2 linked regions of the Pelodiscus sinensis genome follow. The protein of the gene in region 1 interacts with the protein of each later gene in a biochemical or structural test. Links are inferred from orthologs where the notes say so. Each region holds a gene or a part of one and is shown in the gene's direction. Other genes may lie near its edges.

Region 1 (10,281 bases):
TCCCACCGACTCCCTCCCAGCTAGCCCTGCTTCCCGCTGGCTGGTCCCACACCCCAATCTCCCTCAGTCAGCCTCGCTCTCCCCAGCCCCCTCCAGTTCTGAGATCAAGTGTGTCTGGAATTTTTTTGAAGCCATCTGGTAACCCTATCCAGCTCCCAGTGCTGGGGAGGGGGAGCCCTGAGCCTTAGTGGCTGCATCCGGGCATTAGGTTCCCCACCCGTGAGTTAGTGGTTTTGTTCTGATTACAAATATAATTATTTTCAGGAAGTAACTCCTCTGTTTGGACTTACCGAACTCTACAATTGTACAGAGCATCCTTCAAACAGAGTGTATCTGAAACCAGTTTGGAACCAGTGAAATGGTAGAATTACATTCATATAATCATTTTCGGGCAAATTCCAAAGAAACGTAGCCTCCTTGCAGCTCAAGCACTACTCAGCTCAGTCTCTAGCTAGGACCCTAGGTGGGTCTGGCTGGATGTTCAGTCTGTCTCCGTCACTCGTGACCTCACCACATAACCAAATTCCCAATTGTAGATTACCGCCAGCTCAAGATTACTCTATCTGGATGGGACACTTAAGAGGCATCATAGACTGTGCTGGAGGATGCTCGAAAGATGTGGATGCTTGTATAGCAGCACCTGCTGCCAAATGTGCCCTTCAGTGGTCTTTGTGGAGACGCCATGACATCAAGCTTGCTACGAAGTTGCAGACTTAATAGAACTAGAGTTACACCAACTTTATTGTACAGCAGAGAAGCAGGGCACTATGGAAGACTGAAGAGAGTGGATTGATTGTTTTGATTCGTCATCAGCTGCTCCATAGTAAGTGGCAAACCAAGATCAACAATGAGGATACTCAGAATTAAACCCAGCAACTGTATCTTTCAGCCTAGGTGGCTTCCTGGGTGCCGACCTATTCTTAGGATGGAAGGCCAATTAACAGAATTACAGCAGAGGGAGAAAGTATTAAGAGGCATAAGACAAGGGAAAAAGAGGTGATTTATGTAAAAGCAAAGATTTATGTACAGCACTGGCACAATGGGAGCCTGATTTGGTCTGGACCAATAGTACTACATAGTACAAATGACAAGTAATCTGTGGTTGCTTTTTTTTTTTTTTTTTTTTTCAATTACACAGGCCAGTGTAAAACAGCAAGTAGGAAAGACAAATCAGAGAAGCCAAGATTTATTAGGTTTTTTTTTCTGGAACCCAAACCAGCCCCATTTAGAAAATAAATTGTCCCGTTGGCCTTCCTGACATATGGCCACATTATTAAGCTAGCCTTGTACAAACTAGGCTCCAGGGTCGAGCAGCTTCAGTGTAAAAGGTGGAATTTTTCAAATGTTATAACTTGGGATATAATATTGCTACATGCATTTTCCCATGATGAGAGGTCTTAATTTTTAAATTATATCTCACAGGGCATATTTTGTGCAAAGATTATTACAGTAGCGTTTAGGGAGAGAATACAGGAGTACATTTGATCACACATACTTGAAAATATAAAGCTAAACAGTTTTTGAATTACTGGCAATTATAACTATTCTAATTGGAAATGTTGGCTTGTCTAATTTTGTCTCCCTCTAGCAAAATTACAATTTTTCACAATCCGTTGGGGGTGGGGGGGGGGGGGGGGGTTGCTAGGTGTATATATTGTCGCTTAGCAATGTTAACTTTTTTAAAGCAAAGGTTTTTGGATTTTATTTTAGAAATATAACAAGCTAGAAAAGGATCAATAGATCACTTTGTATCACAGAAGTCTGCTTGATTACACAGAGCGTATCTTGAAATGCTGCTTTTCATTTACAGTCAGTAACCACATAATTTAATTCTTGTAAAGCCCTTGGAGACTTTTGGATGAAGGTAAAATGGAAAGATTTTACCTGCACATTTACCGGATGACTGAAAGATTACGAATCAGTCATTTACTAGCTCTTTCTATCTGACTTAAATCAGAATAAATAGCTCTGTGGACTTTAAAACATCTCGATTAGGTGATTATCTCTGTAACACTCTGTTGTGCTGCTTAATGAAACATAAAGCTCATCTTATTTGCTCTCCTATTCCATCTTAAAAGAATGACAGTTCATACATTTGGGCCTGGCACAGAAGGCATGCATAATTTACGTAACACATTTTCCCTTGCTTCTAAACAAAATTTGAACTTCAAGAGAACACTTGTACAACACTATTAAACATTTTTTTCTTCTTTAATAAACATCAGACTTGAGAGGTAGAGAGGCTAGGAAGTGAGAAAAGTTGTTGTCCCACATTCTTACGAAGTGCTCAGAGCATGTCCGTGTCTCCTTAAATAATTTACAATGTTCCAGGATGAAAAAAAAGGCATCAGCCTAAATAAGATGGACTTTGCTGTAGGAATGAGGTGCTGTCTTCCTCCCTTCCCCCAGTCCCTCCCAGGTTTAGTAAAATAAAAACCCTTTAGGACCTCTTCATTTTATAGTTAAATCAGCCTTGCCTAAATCATTTGTATATACGTTGTGTGCTGTATTTGCTCAAATCTATATGAGAAAAATAAATCTAATAATGATCGTCAGCACCCTCCTTAGGTGGTTGTGGAGCCTGGAACAACACCCTCTCCTCCCCCCACAGGGCCAGCCCACTACATTTTGGCAACTGCGGCGGGGAGTTCAAATGATGCCCCCTTTTCTCCTGCCTGCCTGTTGTCTCTTGTGCCCTCCTTCCTCCAGCACATCACTTCACCATCTCTGTGCATCTAGAGTAGAGAGAATACATCTGCACCAGCAGCAGACACAATTTTCTACACTTTGGGTTCTAGTGGCGCCCCCCCCCCCCCCCCCCAGTCTGGCACCTGAGGCAGCCGCCTCAGTTCGCCTCATAGTAAGGCCAGCCCTGCCTCTGCCCCTGCCTCCGTCCCCACTCCAACCCTCGTCCCTGCTCCACTCCTCCCCCACCTCTGCCTGAACCAACACTGCCTCCTCCCAAGCAACATGGCCTGGGGAATTACTGGGGGGCCATTACCCCCCTTGTACTCCTGTGGTGGTGGGAAGCAGAATAACCTGGCCCTAGCCTGCTCTACTCCCTGGCTACGTCTTCACTAGCACCCTTTTCCGGAAATGCTTAAAACGGAACAGTTTTCCGTTTTAAGTATTTCCGGAAAAAGCGTGTCTACATTGGCAGGATGCTTTTCTGGAAAAGCACTTTTTCCGGAAAAGCGTCCGTGGCCAATCTAGACGCGCTTTTCCACAAAAAAGCCCCGATCGTCATTTTTGCGATCGAGGCTTTTTTGCGGAAAACACTACTGTGCTGTCTAGACTGGCCCTTTTCTGGAACAGTTTTCCGGAAAAGGACTTTTGCCCGAACAGGAGCAGCATAGTTTTTCCAGAAAAGCACTGATGATTTTACAGTAGATCGTCAGTGCTTTTCTGGAAATTCAAGGGGCCAGTGTAGACAGCTGGCAAGTTATTCCGGAAAAGCGACTGATTTTCCGGAATAAGTGGCCAGTGCAGACACAGCCCCCGAGCCCAGCTTCAAGCCCTGTTGCTCAGGAGACTGGAGGAGGTTAGGACTCTGGCACCTACTTCCGCCTAGGAGATGGCGAAGCAGAGCGTGCTGAGGCTGGACTGCTTCGCTTCCTGTGGCTCCCACGCTCCCTGGTGAGTACGGGGCTGGGCCCGACCCTGCTACTGTCCCAGAACCCCTGGGTAATCACCGAGGCTGCCCTGACATCATAGGGTTCCCCAAAATGCAGGGCTCGGGGCCACCCCAACCATTCTATGGATGAGATAGCTCTGATGATCTTGAATTTACATCATATCTTGTATCCAGATTGATCCCAGATAACATTATATGCTGTACTTGTAAACCACCCTGGGTGCTGTGTGTCATTAAAAATTGTATTTATAAAAATCAAACTTCCATACTATTTGTTACAGGAAAGGAATAATTAGAACTGTTGATTAATCATAGATAACTCACACAATTAACTCAAAATTAATCACAATTAAAAATTAATTGTGCTTAATCACACTGTTAAACAACAGACTACCACATGAAATGTATTAAATATTTTGGATGCTTTTTTAAATTTTCAGATATATTGATTTGTATTATGACACAGAATACAAAGCGTGCAGTGCTCACTTTATATGGTTACATTTGATTACTATCATTGGCACTCTAAAAATGATAATAGTATTTTTCAATTCACCTCATACAAGCACTGTAGTGCAATCTCTTTATCATGAAAGTGTAATTTAAAAATGTAGATTGTTTTGTTGCATAACTGCACTCAAAAACAAAACAATGTAAAACTTTAGAGCCTACAGATTCATTTAGGTTGAACAAGAGGTAGAACTAACGCAAAGAAAAGCAAGTTTTTTTACATCTATGGGAGATACTGCTACCAGCTTCTTATTTCAGAGGACCTCCTTCCATGCTTATGATGGATTCTGCTTGATAACAAGGTTTCATATTATTTTATTTTTGAATGCTGTTACTTTTTGTACATAATTCTATCTTGGTAAGTTAAACCCCCACGATAAAGAGATTGCACTACGGTACTTGTATCAGTTGAATGAAAAATACTATTTATTTTGTTTTTTTACAGTGCAAATATTTTAATAAAGTGAACACTTTGTATTCACTTTGTATTCTATGTTGTAATTGAGAGCAGTATATTTGCAAATGAAGATAACATCCACAAGTATTTAAATAAATGGTAAACTTAAAAAACAACCAATAGTTTAGCAGCACCTTAAAGACTAACAAAACATGTAGATGATATCATGAGTTTTCGTTGGTACAACCCACTTCTGCTGTTGTACCCACAAAAGCTCATACCATCTACATGTTTTGTTAGTCTTTAAGGTGCTGGTAGGCTGATTGGTTTTTTTAAAGTTTTTCCAGTTACAGACTAACTCAGCTACCCCTCTGAAGCTAAATAAATGGTTTTCTATTATTAACAACATAATTAATCACAATTACATTTTTAACCAATTGACAATCTTAGGAAAAACAATATATACATTTATGTTAATTTCATTGTTTTTAATCTCATAACTCTTTTGCACAACATATTAGTGATTTGCAATCGCATCAACCCCCACAGGTAGATATTTCGTTAATCCCATTTTATGGCAAAATTGAAGTACTCCTAGGCACCAACCCAAAAAATGCTTATATGTAGAAGTTGCTACATATATGTGAGTAGCTCCATTGACTTTAATGGGGCTTCTCATGTGAGTTGGGTTTAGTGTGTGTGAAACCGCTTGTTCAAGTACAGGCAGAAAAGCTATGACAAAAGCACTCTGGACTCCCAGTCCTTTGCCTGTCTCATTGCCTTCTCCCTGCTTGTGGCTGTAGCTTTTCCATTTCTCTCAAAGGGCCATGTGGAGACAGGTCAATTTCACTTTTGTTGCTAGTCACTTTCATAGCCCATTCCTCCCAAGCTTGTTTAAAACAAACTATGGGGACCAACTGAGAAGCTTCCCAGAACCATCTCCCTGCCCCCAACTATCATAAGTGCTAGACTTTCCAAAGCTACATGTGGGGGGCCCTGTTGGCCAAGAGCCTCCAGCAGCACTGCTGGGACTGGAGGAGCCCGTTTTAAAACCTATTTCAGAGGCTAGAGTGCTGCAAACTCTTAGGGCAAGGAGCTATCCTGCTTCCACCTCCCCAGAAATCACTGGGGCAGCAGCTCCCAGTGTCCCTTTTCAATTGGTGCTGGAACTAAGGGCGTTGGTGCACCTCCCAGGGCCTGAAGTGGTTTTCATCCCATCCAGGGTTTACACTTTGCTTCACTAGCTCTCAGCCCCCTACCCCACTGCGCAAACTCCTCGCCCCTCGCTTTGCCCCTGCCGCCTGGAGAATGGGGCTAAGGCAAGTCCACGGGAAAGGGGACAGTGCCAGCCCCTGCTCTGTGGGAGAAGGGGACAGAAAGCGAGGGAGGGAGAGGGGAGAAAGGGGGGATAGAGGGGGCGGGGGCCAGAAAGGGGGGAGGGAGAGGGGGCGGGGACAGAAAGGGGGGAGGGAGAGGGGATAAAGGGGGTGGGGACAAAGCGGGGGAGGGGAAAAGTGGGGATAGAGGGAGCAGGGACAGAAAGGGGGAGAGAGAGGGGGAAAAGGGCGGATGGGGGGCAGGGACAGAAAGGGGAAGGGAGAGGGGGGAAAAGGGGAATGGGGGGGCGGGGACAGAAATCGGCCGGGAAGGGAGGATAGCGGGGAGGGGGTAGAGGGGGCGATAGGGGGCGGGGACCAGCCCCAGCTGTTGACAGCTGCGGGGCAGAACAGGGGCTGAGAGCTAAGCAAAGAGCGAGCGCAGCTGTGACACGGTGCTGTATCACGTGACTTCCAGTCCAGCGGGGAGGGCTCGCGGGAAAAGCCCTGCAAGAGAAGCGGCCCTCCCCGCAGACTTCCGCCCTTCAACATGGCCGACAGGAAGTGAGGCTTTCAGGAAAGCGAAGCCAATCACCTAGTTGCGACGGCAGCGGCTTCCGCCCCGGAAGAGCAAGGGCGTGTCCGGACGGAAACGCGGCCGGCGGGGGAGGCGTTCCGCGCGGCGGGAGAACGCGCCGAGAGCCGTCTCGCGCCTGAGCTCCGGGCAGCCACCGCCGAGATGCAGACGCGACGAAGAGCCGCGGCCGGGGCCAAGGAGCCGGAGCCCAGGCGGCGGGGCGCCGAGGCCTCGGAACGTGAGTGACTGAGGAGCCGTTGCTGATCCCGCGACGCGCCCTCTGCTTGAGGGCGCAGGGGAGGGGGGACCCCGACGAGGGGTGGCCGAGCCCCCCTTGGGGGAGCTGCCGCGCTCTGCCCCCCGCTGCGGGGCGGGGCCATCGCCGGGGGGGTTTCCTTGCCCCGCGCCCGGCTTCTCCTGGCCGTTAAACGGTTCCCTTGAGACCGTTGCCAGCTGAGGCGGGCGGGGGGGCCGAGGGGGCGCCCGGGCTCTACCATGTGACCGGCCCATCTGACCAGCAGGCACCTCGGGTTTAGGCAAATTAGCCTCTGAGGGGCCGGGGCCGGGCGGCTCTGGAAAGCGGCCTGACAGCGGCTTTGTTTTGCGCCCCGCTTCGTTCCCTTCCGCTCCCTGCTGCGTCCGCGCGGGCAGCGGGTGGCGCCTGTTCACCTCAACTGGAAACAGCCCCCCGGGCTCCGGCAGCTCTGTGCAGACTCCCCGAGCGTGGGGAGGGGTCGCGAGCGTTCGTGGGCGCAGCCCGGGTTGCTATTCCACGTGTTACTGTTGAGCAGGCAGGGAAGAGATGTGGCCCGAGCTCAGTCAGCCCGGGCGTCGTGCTGAGCATTTTCCCACTCGATTGTCTATAAAAATCGTTAAGGAATCTACATGGAGCCGGTTAAGTTGTGCATTGTGCCACGTTCGTCTTCAGTGGGCCCCAACGCGGAGCCCGTGGGCGCCATGGCGCCCGCCGGGCCATTTATGTGCACTTGCGGAGCAATCTGGGCTGGCCCCGCCCTGGGCGTGCGGCAGGTGTCAGCCCCGGGCGCATGGGTGACCCCTGCCCGGGGTCGCAGCACATGCCAGTACTGGCCCCAGGCACACAGCACCTGGGCAGCCCCTGCCCGGGGTCACGGCACATGCTGGTGCCGGCCTGGAGCGTGCGGCGCATGCTTGGCCCCGCCCCCAGGCACGTGGCCTGTGAGCAACCCCGCCCCCGTAAGCGCAGCACGTAAGCGGCCCTGCCCCCAGGCGCCCGGCAGCCCCAAAATGTTGGGAACCCCTAGTCTTAGTTGTCTTGCCCCAACATAATTTTGTGTCTAAAGTCAGTTACAAATAGACCAGTGAATTGTATTTATCAAATAGCTGATACGCATTAGCTTCCATACAGTACTTACTCATTTAACATGTGCCCACTTTACACGTTTTTGCAATAGCACGATTTTTTTTAGGGAATGTTTTTCAAATAACACAACCGTCCTCGAAATAACAGGATAATAATCAAGTGGCAGACTACTTCACGCTGCGGTATAAGTTGGTGAAAACAGTGATAATACGCAGGGCTCGACAATTAGTGTAATCTACTTGCCTGTGGCAAGTAGATTACAAGCCCGCGCAGTACGCCGCTCAGCACAGCTGGTGAGGGGGGTTCACCGCCGCTTGGCGAGCCCTGGTAATATGCATGAACGGATGAATACACGTGGTCACAGCGCTTCTCTGCTCACTCATGTGTCTGTCTATCTTTGTGTTTTAACAAACCACAGTGACTTGTGTTGCTAGATATCTAATGTTGACGACCCAGCACTAACAAAAAATTGACTTTGCCACCACTGCCTGAAATGCAACCTCCACCTTTTACATTATTTTTAATGGGAAAATTTACCCCGCATAGCACGTTTTCTCTTAGCCTGAACATTTTCAGAAACACATCTATAGTGTTAAATGAGGGATTACTATACAGCTTTAATGTATTTTTAAAATGAATCCCCTAAAAATGGGAATGACACAGATGAAGTTGCTTGTATGCTGTCGGTTGAATTTCACTCTTGCTTTATTCACTATGCACCAAAGACCAAATCTTGCTCTAGTAGTATTTCATAGTAAATTGGAAGCATGGCATTTAGCTTTACTCTATAGCTGTGGTAACGGGTATGCAGGCCTGCCTTACTTCCACAGAAATGTGAAGTGCTGTATAACTTCCTGCTTCTACAGAGTTCTTGAGTGGTGCAGGAGAAGGGGCTACTCTGTACTTGCTCTCCTGCAAAGCTCTTCACGTTGACAGAGAGGCATTTCACACCTCTTTGAAGCGTTGTTTCACTCTCTTTGCTGAGTTTGCCAAGCTTCATTGGGTCTCTTTTCAGCTAGCTCACAATTTCAGTGTTCTCTGTGCAACCATAATGGGTGGAGACTTTTTTGTAGGGTTTTTTTTTGTTTGTTTAGTTTAGTTTCTGGCGCACAAGGTCTCAGAGGGGTAGCCTTGTTAGTCTGTAACTTTAAAAAAGCCCCGAATAGTCCTGTGGCACCTTAGAGACTAACACAAATATATAGATAGATAGTATCATAAGCTTTCATGGGCAAAACCCAGTTCTGATTACAGCAACCAAGGCAGAATACCAGGTCACCAATCTAGGGTGACCTGGCTTGAACTTACCATTGCTATTTAGAAGGGGTATATCTTCTACTTTTATTTTTACTTCCATTCCTCTTCCTTTCTGGTATCTATTTCTTCTCCTATCCTTACACTTTTAAATTAAACAAAAAAGCTTCAGTTGAATTATAAAGCTTGTGCATTTGAATATTTGATAATTCGTTCATGTGGTTGTAGGAGTGATTTTACTAGTGCTTTTATAAACTGAATAACAAATGAATTTCCTGACACTTGTTTTTATTGATATGTGCACACTATTTTACTGGCTTGTTTCTAAAATGCTTTTTTTTTTCTATGTATGTTTTGAAGCATCTGTATACAGAAGACAAATGACCAACAAAAATGACAACAGGCAGAAACGCTTGATAGACGGTAACAGTGGGCTTTCTTTCCTTTTCTTTCGCCAGTTAGAGGAAATCTTCTCTTTCCAGATAGTATGAACTGATACCAATTATAAATTAGCATATCAAAACATCTACAATACACTGTTTCAACAACTTAACTATGTGCAGAGAATGCAAAGTAATACTAGACTTCACTCTGTAGTATTACATAACTTCAAATACTTAAGAGACTACTAGATTTTAAATTGCCGTTACATAGTGAAGGCACTGTTGTGCCCTTTCAAAGAATTTCTGTAAAAAGGACTTTTGCAAGGAGATGAGTAGGAGTTTTATTCAGTTACTTCTGTATAGTCTCCATTTCTGATTAATAAAAATAGAATATTACAAACACCGAGGTTCCTTGGGTCCCAGCATGTAGTTTAGATACAGCCAGATAACACCTGTGTATATATATAGGATTTTACTTGGTCAAAGAAAACAGTATTTATTGTTCTCACAGTGCCGTATTCTTGAATCAAAGATTGGTTTCCCAATTCATTGGTGTTCAGTTATTCCATATGGTTAGGAATTAGGAGGATGGTACTGCCAAACAATTTTTTTAGGACTTAGTATCTTACTTTTATTGATCTCTGGGCTCTTTGATGCTTTAACCTCTGTAGAATTGAGGGATTGGGGGACTGCACTTCCTCTTTAGCTCCTCAGTGACATCTGGCAAGTGTCATGGAGCCTGATCGTTGATTCTTTTGGGTTGGTCTAGGAGCAGATTTTAGGCAGGAGCAAACTTTGCTTCATTTATAGAAGTTTAGTCCAACTGACCTGGTGAATCACTTCAAAGTGTGTCCTGTCTCAGTCCCTGTGA
Region 2 (10,639 bases), on another chromosome or scaffold:
AGGGATGTGTGGTTTCTGTCCGTCCTTGGGACTAGAGCGCTCCTCTTTATCACATTGCCCCATTCTCTGACAAACAGCTTGCAAATCAAAGACAACTGCAATTGCTGTCCCCCCCACATGTAACTGTCCGTTCACTCACTCGTAGATAAAATTGCTCTACTGTGTATTTTGGTATATAGGGCCCCAGGCCTCTTTCTGTCTGCAGTGTATAAACAATTCTCTTCCTCACTGTATTCCCCTTTCAGTGCAAAAATAAAAAACATAATCTTTACTGAGGACGCCAAGGCAAGGCTGCTGGCAGAGCAGCAAAACAAAAAGAAAGACAGTGAAACTTCCTTTGTTCCCACAAACATGGCTGTGAACTACGTCCAGCACAACCGATGTGAGTATCTTGGAAACAGAGGCAGCAGCTGGGGGGCGGGAAGTGAGCAAATGCGCGTAATCGACAGGATTAACTGATAAGACCAGGCTTATCGGTTAATCGTGTATCTGAAGAAGTATCTGAAAGCTCATGATCCCATCTACATGTTTTGTTAGTCTTAAAAGTGCTACTAGACTATTTGTTGTTTTTTAAGCTTTTCCTGTTACAGACTAACTTGGCTTACCTCTCTGGAACATATGCATGTTGACAACCCTAACTATAACAGGGTTAAAAAAAGAACTAGATAATTTCATGGAGGATAAGTCCATGTGTGGCAATTAGCGTGGATGGTGAGGGATGGTGTCCTTAGTCTCTGTTTACCAGAAAATGGGAATTAGTGACAGGGATGGATCACTTGATTACCTGTTCTGTTTATTCCCTCTGCAGCACCTGGCAATGGCCACTGTTGGGAAAACATGATACTGGCTTAAATGGTCTGACCTGTTATGGCCAGCTTATGTTCTTATGACCTCTTGAGCTCCCTTCCAGCTGTACATTTCTGTGATTCTACATCTGAGCAATGCTGCTGTCTAAACTTCACCCTTTGGTGTGTCTCCTTCCAGTCTATCATGAGGAACTGAGTGCACCAGTGAGGAGGAATAAAGAAGAACCAAAAGCCCGACCACTGAGAGTGGGGGATACAGAGAAGCCAGAACCTGAGCGTGAGTACTAAACACAAAGCATGGCTAGCTTATTGGAGGTATCAATTCTTCCTTATCCAAGATCCATGAACAGATATAATCTTCTCCTCTAGCCCTCTAAGGCAGGGGTGAGCAAAATACAGCCCGTGGGCCAGATTTGGCCCATCATACATTCAGATCCAGCCCGCCCGCCACCAATATCCTCCCAGCCCAGTGGAACCTTAGGGCAGGCTCCCTGCCTGCTGCAGCCTCACATGCCACACAAAGTGGCTGGCTGCTGAGGCCAGTGTGCACATATCTGTGCAATGCGTGCCCCTTGGGAGGGGTCTCCGTGTGCTTCCCCCAGCACAATCCTTGCAGCTCCCAACAGGTGATTTCCAACCAATGTGAACTGCCTGGGCTGTACTTGCAGGCACGTACAGCCCACAGAGACCCACTTTCGCCTTTCCCCAAGGGGTGCACCACTCAGAGAGCACACGCTGGCCCCAGCAGACAGCCGCTTTGTCCACCACGCCCCCACATGCTGCTCAGAGAGCCTTCCTAAGGGTCCCATTGGGCTGCTGGACAGGTGCCACTAACGTAAGCACCTCCTAGCCAGAGCCTGCACCCCTGCTTTCTGCCCCAGGTCACAACTCAAACCCTCTGCACCCTGTCCTGCACCCTTGCCCCAGGTCATAACCCAAACCCTCTGTCCCCCTCCCCTGGTCACAACACCCTCCCAGACCCTGCACCCCCTTCCTACATCCCTCCTCCATGTCAGAATCCTCTCCTGCACCCAAACTCCCTCCCAGACTCCATTCTCATCCCTCTTGCACTTCAGTCCTCAACCAGAGCTCCCTCCTGTACCCAGCTTCGGTCCCAGAGCCCACACCACCTCCATTAATATCATAGAAAAGTACTGCCCTTGACCACTTTCCAAACTCTTGGGCAGTGTCTAAACTGCATCCCTTTTTCGATAAATGGATGTAGATTAGGCACGTCGATATTGCAAATGAAGTGCAGGATGTAAATATCCCGTGTTTCATTTGCATAATGGCGACTGCTGCTTTTTTCTGAAATGGGGCTCTTTCAGGAGGGACAGGGGGAAGAAACCACAGCAGTTTAGATGGGGCATTTTCAACAGAAATGCCCCATTTTGAAAGATGCTGTACTCCTCATTTTTTGAGGAGTACAGGATCTTTCGAAATGAAACTGTCCGTTTTTTGTTTTTTTTTTCTTTTGAAAAAGCCCTGTTTTGGAAAAAAGCGGCAGCTGCCATTATGCAAATGACGCGCGGGATATTTAAATCCCGGCTTCATTTGCAATATCGATGTGCCTAATCTGCATCCCCTTATCAAAAAAGGGATGTAGTTTAGACACAGCCTTGGAGTACCCCTTCCCATCAAATATGATTGCCCACCCCTGCTATAAGGCATGGTGTCCTGAGCTGGTGGGAAAGACTTGTAGAGTGATTTGCCTTTGATTTTCAAAGGAAAAGTGATGAAATGCAATTCTTGATGTGCTCCCTAATAGATACAACTTCCATCCATGTTGCTTTATGACTTATCTCCTGTTATAGGTGAAGGGTCAGGATGTTGAAAATAACCCATTGACTCCTTAGTAATGGTGTGTAGTCAGCCGTGGTATGGAGAGCTAACAGTCTCTGCTCCACAAAGGCTGGAGTAATGGGGGAATGTAAATGGTACGGTTTTTAAGTGTTTTGGGCAAAACTGTTTTGGAATGGATTGGGGGAGAGTGAGTAGGATTTGGAAGAATGAAGTCTGAAGAATTTTGGCATTGTTGAAGGCAAGAGTGTAAAATAGTAAGAGTGCTTGCAGGCCAGCTGGTTTAAAGGGCATTAGACTAAATCTTTGGGAAGTGAATGAGGATAATTTTTCCTGCGCTATCCTATTTATTAAAGAATAGGAAATAAAGTGTGTGTATGTGTCTCTCTCTCTCTCTCTCCCTCTCTCTCTCCTTTGAAGGGTCTCCTCCAAATCGCAAGCGTCCACCCAATGAGAAAGCAACAGATGATTACCACTATGAGAAATTCAAGAAGATGAACAGACGCTATTGAAATCTCTTCAGTATGGGCTGAACATTTTGCTGGAGCTTTTAAGTGAAAGGTGTTGTGTAAATAACTCTGTGGGATGGCTTCGTATCCATTTTTTTAATGTTACCCATAAGATTTTTCTCACAGTAAACTTGTAGTGAATTAGTTGCATGGTGATTGTGAAATCATCCTTCTCTGTGGTGACTTGTGTATAACTTATTTTGTTATAAACTTTCCTTTGTAAATATGTTGGCTTCCTGCTTGACATTTATTTTAGCATAATGTCAACCTTGTTCATAGATTTTTTTTTTTCCACTTTGAAAAAGATCTTTTAAAGACTGAAATGTTTTTAGCCCGTAAACAAGGAGTACAGGTTTAAAGCTGGTTTTCCAGGTCAAACTTCCAAAGCAATTTCATAAGAAGGTTCTTCTTGATAGTTCCAAAGGGCTTAAATTGTATGCAGTGTGTGGGTCTAAGATACTGCAGGAATTTGTTAAGCACACAGCAGGAGTCAGCTTCTTTTCCTGTTAGAGTGGGTACCATGTAAGATCTTGAACACATGCTACTCTGCAGGGATTGCAATTTGGCAGGATTTCTTATCTTCAGTATAAGGAAATACAGCAGTTGCTGTAGGTGCCTGAATTGTGAATGTTTTTGAGATTTTTAAATTGTCCCCTGTGTGTGTTTGTGTTTCCATAGCAATGAGTGTTTTATTTCAGTTGCCAAGGAGGAGAGAAATCAGTAGATTGTTTTCAATTTTTGTTTGGCTTTCTGATATGAAATCCTACATTATCCCTATCAAAAAAAACCAAAAAACCCTCAGATGTTAAAACACCATATTTCCAGAAATTAATATAAATTAAGTTGAGAAATGGAGTTTGAACTTTCAAAAAATAAATAACATTTTTAACCTGTCATTCTTGCAATTCTGTTATTTCAGTAATGGGCACACTAGATTCATCCTGTGCTGCTTGTATGTACTTAAATATTAGCCTAAACAAGTCTAAGTTTGTATGAAATTGATTAAATTATTGAATTAAAACAAGGATCAGCAGCTGTTGTCGTGAGACTTGGGAACATGAGTCAGCTCACATCCAGTGCTTTAGTAACCAACATTGTTGAATGCTTTCATAAATCTTCCGTATCATGTCAATCAATCTGAGTGAAATGTACAACAATGAAAATTAAAATGCTGGTTTGTATGCTTGTCTACAATATTAAAGGTAGTGGTAGGGTCAGGAGTTTGATACTAGCATATAGACATTTATCTGCTCAATCTTCATGGAGGTGTCAACCAAAGTATTTTCTGAGCATTGTTCCTAGCTGATATTTGAACCAAGTCAACAGCTAAGTTTTTTTTTCTTGGTCCAGTTGTTAGTAAGGAGTGCTCATATCACGGAAAATACCCTCACCCACAGCTAGCATGATTATTGACAATATCAGTGTAAAAAGGCAATGTGTGAACAAGGCATTGAGAGTGGAGTGCCGTCTGTTTTAAGAATTTCTGTCCTTAGTACTGTTGGACTGACACCTTTCAAATAAAATTAACATGAAACAAAAATGTAAAATCTATGCTACAAATCAAAAAGGCTAGCTTATGAAAATAGTTGAGGTAATATTGTCTGGCACTTCAAACATCTGACTAAGGGTACGTTTACATAGCTCATATGAGGGAGTCTTAGATCCTGGATGACTTGGGCTTCTGCTATTGCACTAAAAATAGCTGTGTAGATGCTTGCTCAGGCTGGATCTTGGCTGAGGGTGGAGCTTGGGCTATAACATCTGTACTATTTTTAGCACTATAGCACAAGCCCACAAACAAGAGTTTTGGTTGGCAGACTGAGATTCACTGCTGAGGGCTGCTACTCAGGCTACGTCTACACCTCACCAAATTTCAAAATAAACTGCTATTTTGAAACATCCTTGTGGAATGAAGTTTACTGGGACATCAGCAGAGCAAGCCTCTTAAGATGCAGGATAGCTATTTCGGGATACTCTGCTATCCTGAAATAGCATTACAGTGTAGATGTAGCCTCACTGTGCAGTTTCATGATTCAGTCACTGACAGACTGTGATCTGGAACATGTTGTTTAATGCCTCTGTGCATCTCTGCTTAATGTCATCTGTAAAATGGGGGAAATGATTGAGTTTCGGTCCCTGGGCTTGAAAGTTTTGTGACCATGTGACCTTTCATCTAATAGTTTTGTTAGAACAGTGAAATATTATGGCTAAGCAAAAGCGACGGCAAGTTCCTGCACCATTTAAAAAAAAATGACTAGCCATAAATACTAAACAGTATCTTAAGTGCTGTGTTTATATATAAAAAAAAATAAATAAATGCAGATAGTAAATGGAGATGACAATGCTACATCATCTAGCTAGTATTTTGAACAGGGCTGGGAAACCTAAGGCCCAGGGGCTGAATCCAGCCCCTGGCTTGCCTGAATCCAGCCCCCAGGGTTTGGGACTCTTTGCCCCCTCCCACCTTTAGCAGTGCTGACACTCCATGGAGCTGGAGTGCACAATCTACTAGCCAGGACTCCTTCCCCTCCCAACCCCCCAGCCCTGGTGTGAAAGGGAAATGTGGGGAGTGTCTCCTTCTTAGAGAGGGGCCACTTCAGTGAGGTGTTTGTTTTTTTGTGAGACAGTGGCCCCTAACCACTGTGCCAGTATTGTTTTTTTTTTTTTTTTTTAGCAAGGGAAGATTTAAAAGAGCTTTCAGCAGGCACTAGCGACTCAAAGGAGTCAGAACAAAACCGTTATTTATTAATTGCAGTTTCCAATAGGTGTTAGAAGGCTTCCTTCCAACAGTGTTCCTTGTAAACTGGCTGCTGGGGGTTAGCAGAGTGCACATGGGTTGTGTGTTGCTAGTAGCGGTGCTCTTTTGCACATGCACCCCTGCACCTACAATATTTTGTCCTGCACATAGATGGAAGAAATCTGCACCCGTCTGGAAACGAGTAGAGGGAGCTGGGGTGTGTGATCTAACCCGGCCACAAGCTGAACAGGGAGACGGAGGTTGCTTGCAGGGCCGCAGGGTGGGCACCGAGGACACGTCGGGACACGCACGCGGAAGCTACGTCACGACCTGCTCCGCCGACGGTCTTACGGCACGTGGAGCAGGATGCTACGTCATGACGGCGATACTGAGTCATTGCCTAGCTAACCTGTCACCTACTGAGTAGCGATCTCGCGGGAGAGGGCGGGCCCTTTCGGTCACGTGACAGTGACGGCCTGTTTCCAACATGGCCGCCGCCAACCTCAACCCTGGCCAACGCCTCTGCCCTCAACCAAGATGGTGGTGCCGGAAGCGACTAGTCCGGAAGCGGAAGTGGCTGTGCGGGGTGAGGGTGGCGCCTGACAGGCCGGGCTGGGGCCTGGCGGAGGGGGCATGAAGCTGCTGCGGGGGCCGCTGGGGGCTGTTCTGGGCCTTGCGCTGCTGCTGAGCCCGGTGCAGACGGTGGAGCCCATCAGCCTGGGACTGGCGCTGTGCGGGGCTGCCGCCTCAGCGCTCACCGGCTTCATCTCCTACCCGCGCCTCTACTGCTACTTCAGGGAGTGCTGCCTCCAGCGGGAGGGGACCCGGGCGGGAGCAGGTAGGTGGGCTGGGGCGGGGCTGGCGGTTATGGGGTCAGTACGTGTTGGGGGCGCTTGGGGGCTGTCCCTGTTGGTGGGGTTCAGCTTGGGGGCTGCTTAGGCTGGGGAAGGGTCCGGCCTCTCGGAAGATGCCCGCTGAGAGAGGGAGTCGGAGCTGGGTCGTTGGCTCTCGTGCAGCAGACAGGAAGGCGGGGAGGGCAAGATTAGAGGGCGCATGCCGAGGGGGTGTAGGAGGCTACAACTAGAGGAGAGGGCTGATAGTTTTGGGGGGAGGGGACGCTGGGGAGATGAAAGAACGTGTGGCTGCTTCCAGACAGAAGGAGCGGGAGTAAAAGGGGAACCTGGTGGTATGAGTCCCTCCACAGGAAGAGGGATGGTGATTGGCAGCTGGATCCAGAGCATCCCATTCCAGGGTCTGCAGTCTCCACTATTCAAGAAAAACGTGCTGGTTCCATTCTAATCAGGATAGCTCTTTGATCCCCTGGCAGCTGCCCTGGGATGAGCAAAGTTTAGGCACCTTGGGATATCAGAGAGGCCACCATTCCAAAGCAGCCTAGAAACATTAAAACCTATCACCTTTTTTTCTTCTTCTCTGGTTGGTGTCTCCTTCATTCAGCACTTCAGGAGGATTTGGATAAGAAACTATTTGGTCAGCACCTTGTGAAGAAGGTGATTGTGAAAGCTGTGATTGGCTTCTTGAACAACACAAACCCCAAAAAACCTCTCACTCTCTCCTTACATGGATGGACTGGTACTGGCAAAAACTTTGTCAGTAAAATAATAGCAGAGAGTATCTACGAAGGAGGCCTGAACAGCAACTATGTCCATCAGTTTGTGTCCACTTTGCATTTTCCCCATGCACATAGCATTAGCCAGTACAAGGTAAGAGTGCATTTGGAGCTCGATGTATTTTAAGTGTGATTGTGTGGGTTATCTCTTTTGTTAGATTATCAAGATTATGGGATCAGTAGTACTAACGAGTGAAGGCTTTTTATCTGAAACAGTAAAACACAATGTGTGCTGAGTCTGAAGTGCAAATGTGGAAACCCTAATGCAGGGGTCTCAATCTCCCAACCCACAGGCTAGCCCCAGCAGGAGCAATTGTGCAATGTGGCACAAGATTCCCAATGGGCCGGGTGGTGGTGAGGTCTGTGTATTACAGGCCCCCAAATAGCCATGTTCCCTCCGATGGCACCCTGTCCCCTGAGGGTACGGCTTGGGGATCACTATGGGAACCTGATGCCGTGTGGTGGTAGTGGTCTCCTCAGATTTCCTGGGGCAGACAGGAGCATGACAGGGTGATGACAGGAAAGGGTAGGGTTTAAGGGCTGGTAACGGACAGCCCCCCTCCCTCAGCTTGCCAGGAATCTCAGGCCAGATTGCGCAATTGTTCCAGCCAGGGATGGTTCACAGGTTGGGAGTTTGAGACCTGCGCTCAAATGTCTAGGGACTGATTTTACCTGTACATTTTTAAAAAATTGTTTATGCAGCCTCTCATGTTACTGTTCAGAGGGAAAGGACATAGGAAGTCAGCATGGGACGTGGGTTCAGTTCTCTGCCCCAAATATCCCACCACAGGTTTTCCTGTGTATCTTTGGGCATGTGATTTAGTCTTTCCTTACCTCAGTTTCTCAACTGAAAAATGGGGCTAGGTGTACTTTGTCCCTCTCAGGGGTTTTTGTGAGCATGAATACATTAAAGAGTGAAATGCCAAGACATACCCGTGGCTACATTAATCAGGTACATATGTGAGTCAGCACAGTTTAGGGAAATCCCACTGCTTGTGTTCCTGAATTTGAATCCTGATTCTGCCACTAGGTTGTGTGAAAGAGTCTATTCTGCAGTCTGCAAAATGAGGATGAAACTTTTCTACATAATGAGTAGTATGCAGATTAGTGAACTTTGTACTGTGTTTTGAACTTAAACACAAAATGTATGCATATTGAAAACTTAAAAGAATGGAACGTTTTAGCTTTTAAAATGGAGAATTCTACTTTTTCTCTAGTTTATGTATTTCCCCTTGTAAAGGTTTCTATTATCCTGCCCCAAATGAGTCCTGAAAGCAGTGGTGAAAATGGATCTTTATGTTCTTTGGTCATGTAAAAAGAAAAACAGCATGTGAAATTCACTTAATGGACAGTGCGCAGTCTTCCCTACACTGCCTTTTCCATGTACAGGGACCAAATAATTGTGAGATTGGTAAAATGAGCTGAGTCACTGTTTTGTTTTATATCAACTGTCCTGTTCCTTTCCTTTCTCATTACTAATCTTAAACATAACTTTTAATACTGTAGTGGGTAAATACCTGAGCCATACAGGCATACCTCAACTTTACAATGTTTGACTTACAACAAATGGCACCTATGTTTCTGAATTGACACCACAATTCAATTTTATAATGCTTGGTCCTGCAAGGGAGTGGATTGTAGTTCTGAGTTATGATGTTTAGACTTATGACACAATTTTCAGGAATTGTCTGTGTCATAAATCTGAGGACTGCCTGTATAATGAAATATTTAAATAAGATTACCCCCTTCCTGAACAAGACTACACTTTTTAAACATTTAAAATCACCTGCAGTTAGATTACTTACCAGTGGTTAAAGCATAGGAATAGGAGTTATGATTCTGTGTTCTATACCTAGCTGTTCCAGTAATTTTTATGTTATTTTGGCTAAGTCACGTAATCACTCACTGACTCAACTAATGAATGTTGGAAAATGTTTTGAGTTCTAAGGATGGAATATGCTACTTGACTGCAGATTATTAGCACCAAAGAAAATAATTTTCCCCACTGGCATTCACTTTATCTTGCGAGGTAGGTTGTTGCTTCATATCCATATTTATTCACTGGCTTGAAATATAGTCTTTTTCATGGATACCTGCAGAGAGATTCCGGTTGTTAAGGTTATTTTAACAACCAGAATGCATTTCTGTTACTATGTTCCTTTTATCATTCTTTACAGCTGACCTTTTAACCAGATTTCAATCAAGAAATTCACACAATTTTAGGTGCACAATTGAAGTTACAGCTTTTGAATGAAAAGCAGCGATCTATACATTTCCCGTGTCTTCAAGGTGACACAGATGCAGTTGGAATATGCAATCTCCTTTATTTTTGTATAACATAGGACCAGTTGCAGTCCTGGATTCGAGGAAACGTGAGTGCCTGTGCCAGGTCAATCTTTATATTTGATGAAATGGATAAAATGCACGCAGGGCTCATTGATTCCATCAAACCGTTCTTGGACTATTATGAGCAGCTTGATGGGGTGTCCTATCGGAGAGCCATCTTCATCTTTCTCAGGTGAGGAGCATCGGTGAAATCCTTGCAATGCTGTAAACTGAATGCTCTGTGAAACCCATCCAGCTGAAATCCTTTCCCTCCATCACACAGCAATGCAGGGGCCGAAAAGATAACAGATGTGGCATTAGATTTCTGGAGAAGGGGAAGAAAAAGGGAAAACATGGAACTCAGAGACTTGGAAGCTTCATTGTCTGTGTCTGTCTTCAACAATAAGAATAGTGAGTAATTTTGATTGTTCCCATGGCTAAAAGTCCTTCTCTTTGAGTGGTTCAGCATCTTTCTGGTATTTGCCAACTGCCTCTTTGGAGAACATCTAAAGAAACAAATATTTGTTGTTATGGTCCCAGTGGTAATCATAGGTAGGATTGCCATAATATTCTACTCTTTACATAGTTTGACTCTTTAACAGACAACATGAAAAATTTAAGCAGGATTATTTTCAGGATCCATCTGTGGTACTGTGTCTGAGCAAGTACCATGTCCCTTCCTGAGAGTAGGTAGACTTCTTTGGCTCTTAATTGGAGGCTGCATGATAAATGTCACATCCTTCTCCTTCCTTGCCCTTCAGAATTGAAGGTGTAGATTGTCAGTTAATGTTCCTCCTAAATTATTATGCTGTAGCTGTGTAGTTACAAAGTTATT

What was found.
Region 2: the proteins of torsin-1A-interacting protein 1 (region 1) and torsin-1A-like form a complex in vitro, tested with the Homo sapiens proteins (2 studies listed by BioGRID and IntAct). The link is inferred for Pelodiscus sinensis from reciprocal best matches to the Homo sapiens genes TOR1AIP1 and TOR1A.

Annotation. Positions count from the first base shown.
Region 1 is NC_134719.1:59,451,297-59,461,577, reverse strand, and holds the start of torsin-1A-interacting protein 1, read left to right. Parts: upstream 1-6,386; 5' UTR 6,387-6,596; coding exon 6,597-6,672; intron 6,673-9,387; coding exon 9,388-9,450; intron 9,451-9,511; exon of another isoform or gene 9,512-10,281. UniProt on the Homo sapiens protein: Required for nuclear membrane integrity. Induces TOR1A and TOR1B ATPase activity and is required for their location on the nuclear membrane. Binds to A- and B-type lamins. Possible role in membrane attachment and assembly of the nuclear lamina.
Region 2 is NC_134732.1:12,897,856-12,908,494, reverse strand, and holds the start of torsin-1A-like, read left to right. Parts: upstream 1-6,421; 5' UTR 6,422-6,485; coding exon 6,486-6,690; intron 6,691-7,307; coding exon 7,308-7,573; intron 7,574-9,821; coding exon 9,822-9,997; intron 9,998-10,087; coding exon 10,088-10,215; intron 10,216-10,639. Other genes in the region: C22H9orf78 (splicing factor C9orf78 homolog), read left to right, coding at 246-382, 985-1,083, 3,027-3,118. UniProt on the Homo sapiens protein: Protein with chaperone functions important for the control of protein folding, processing, stability and localization as well as for the reduction of misfolded protein aggregates.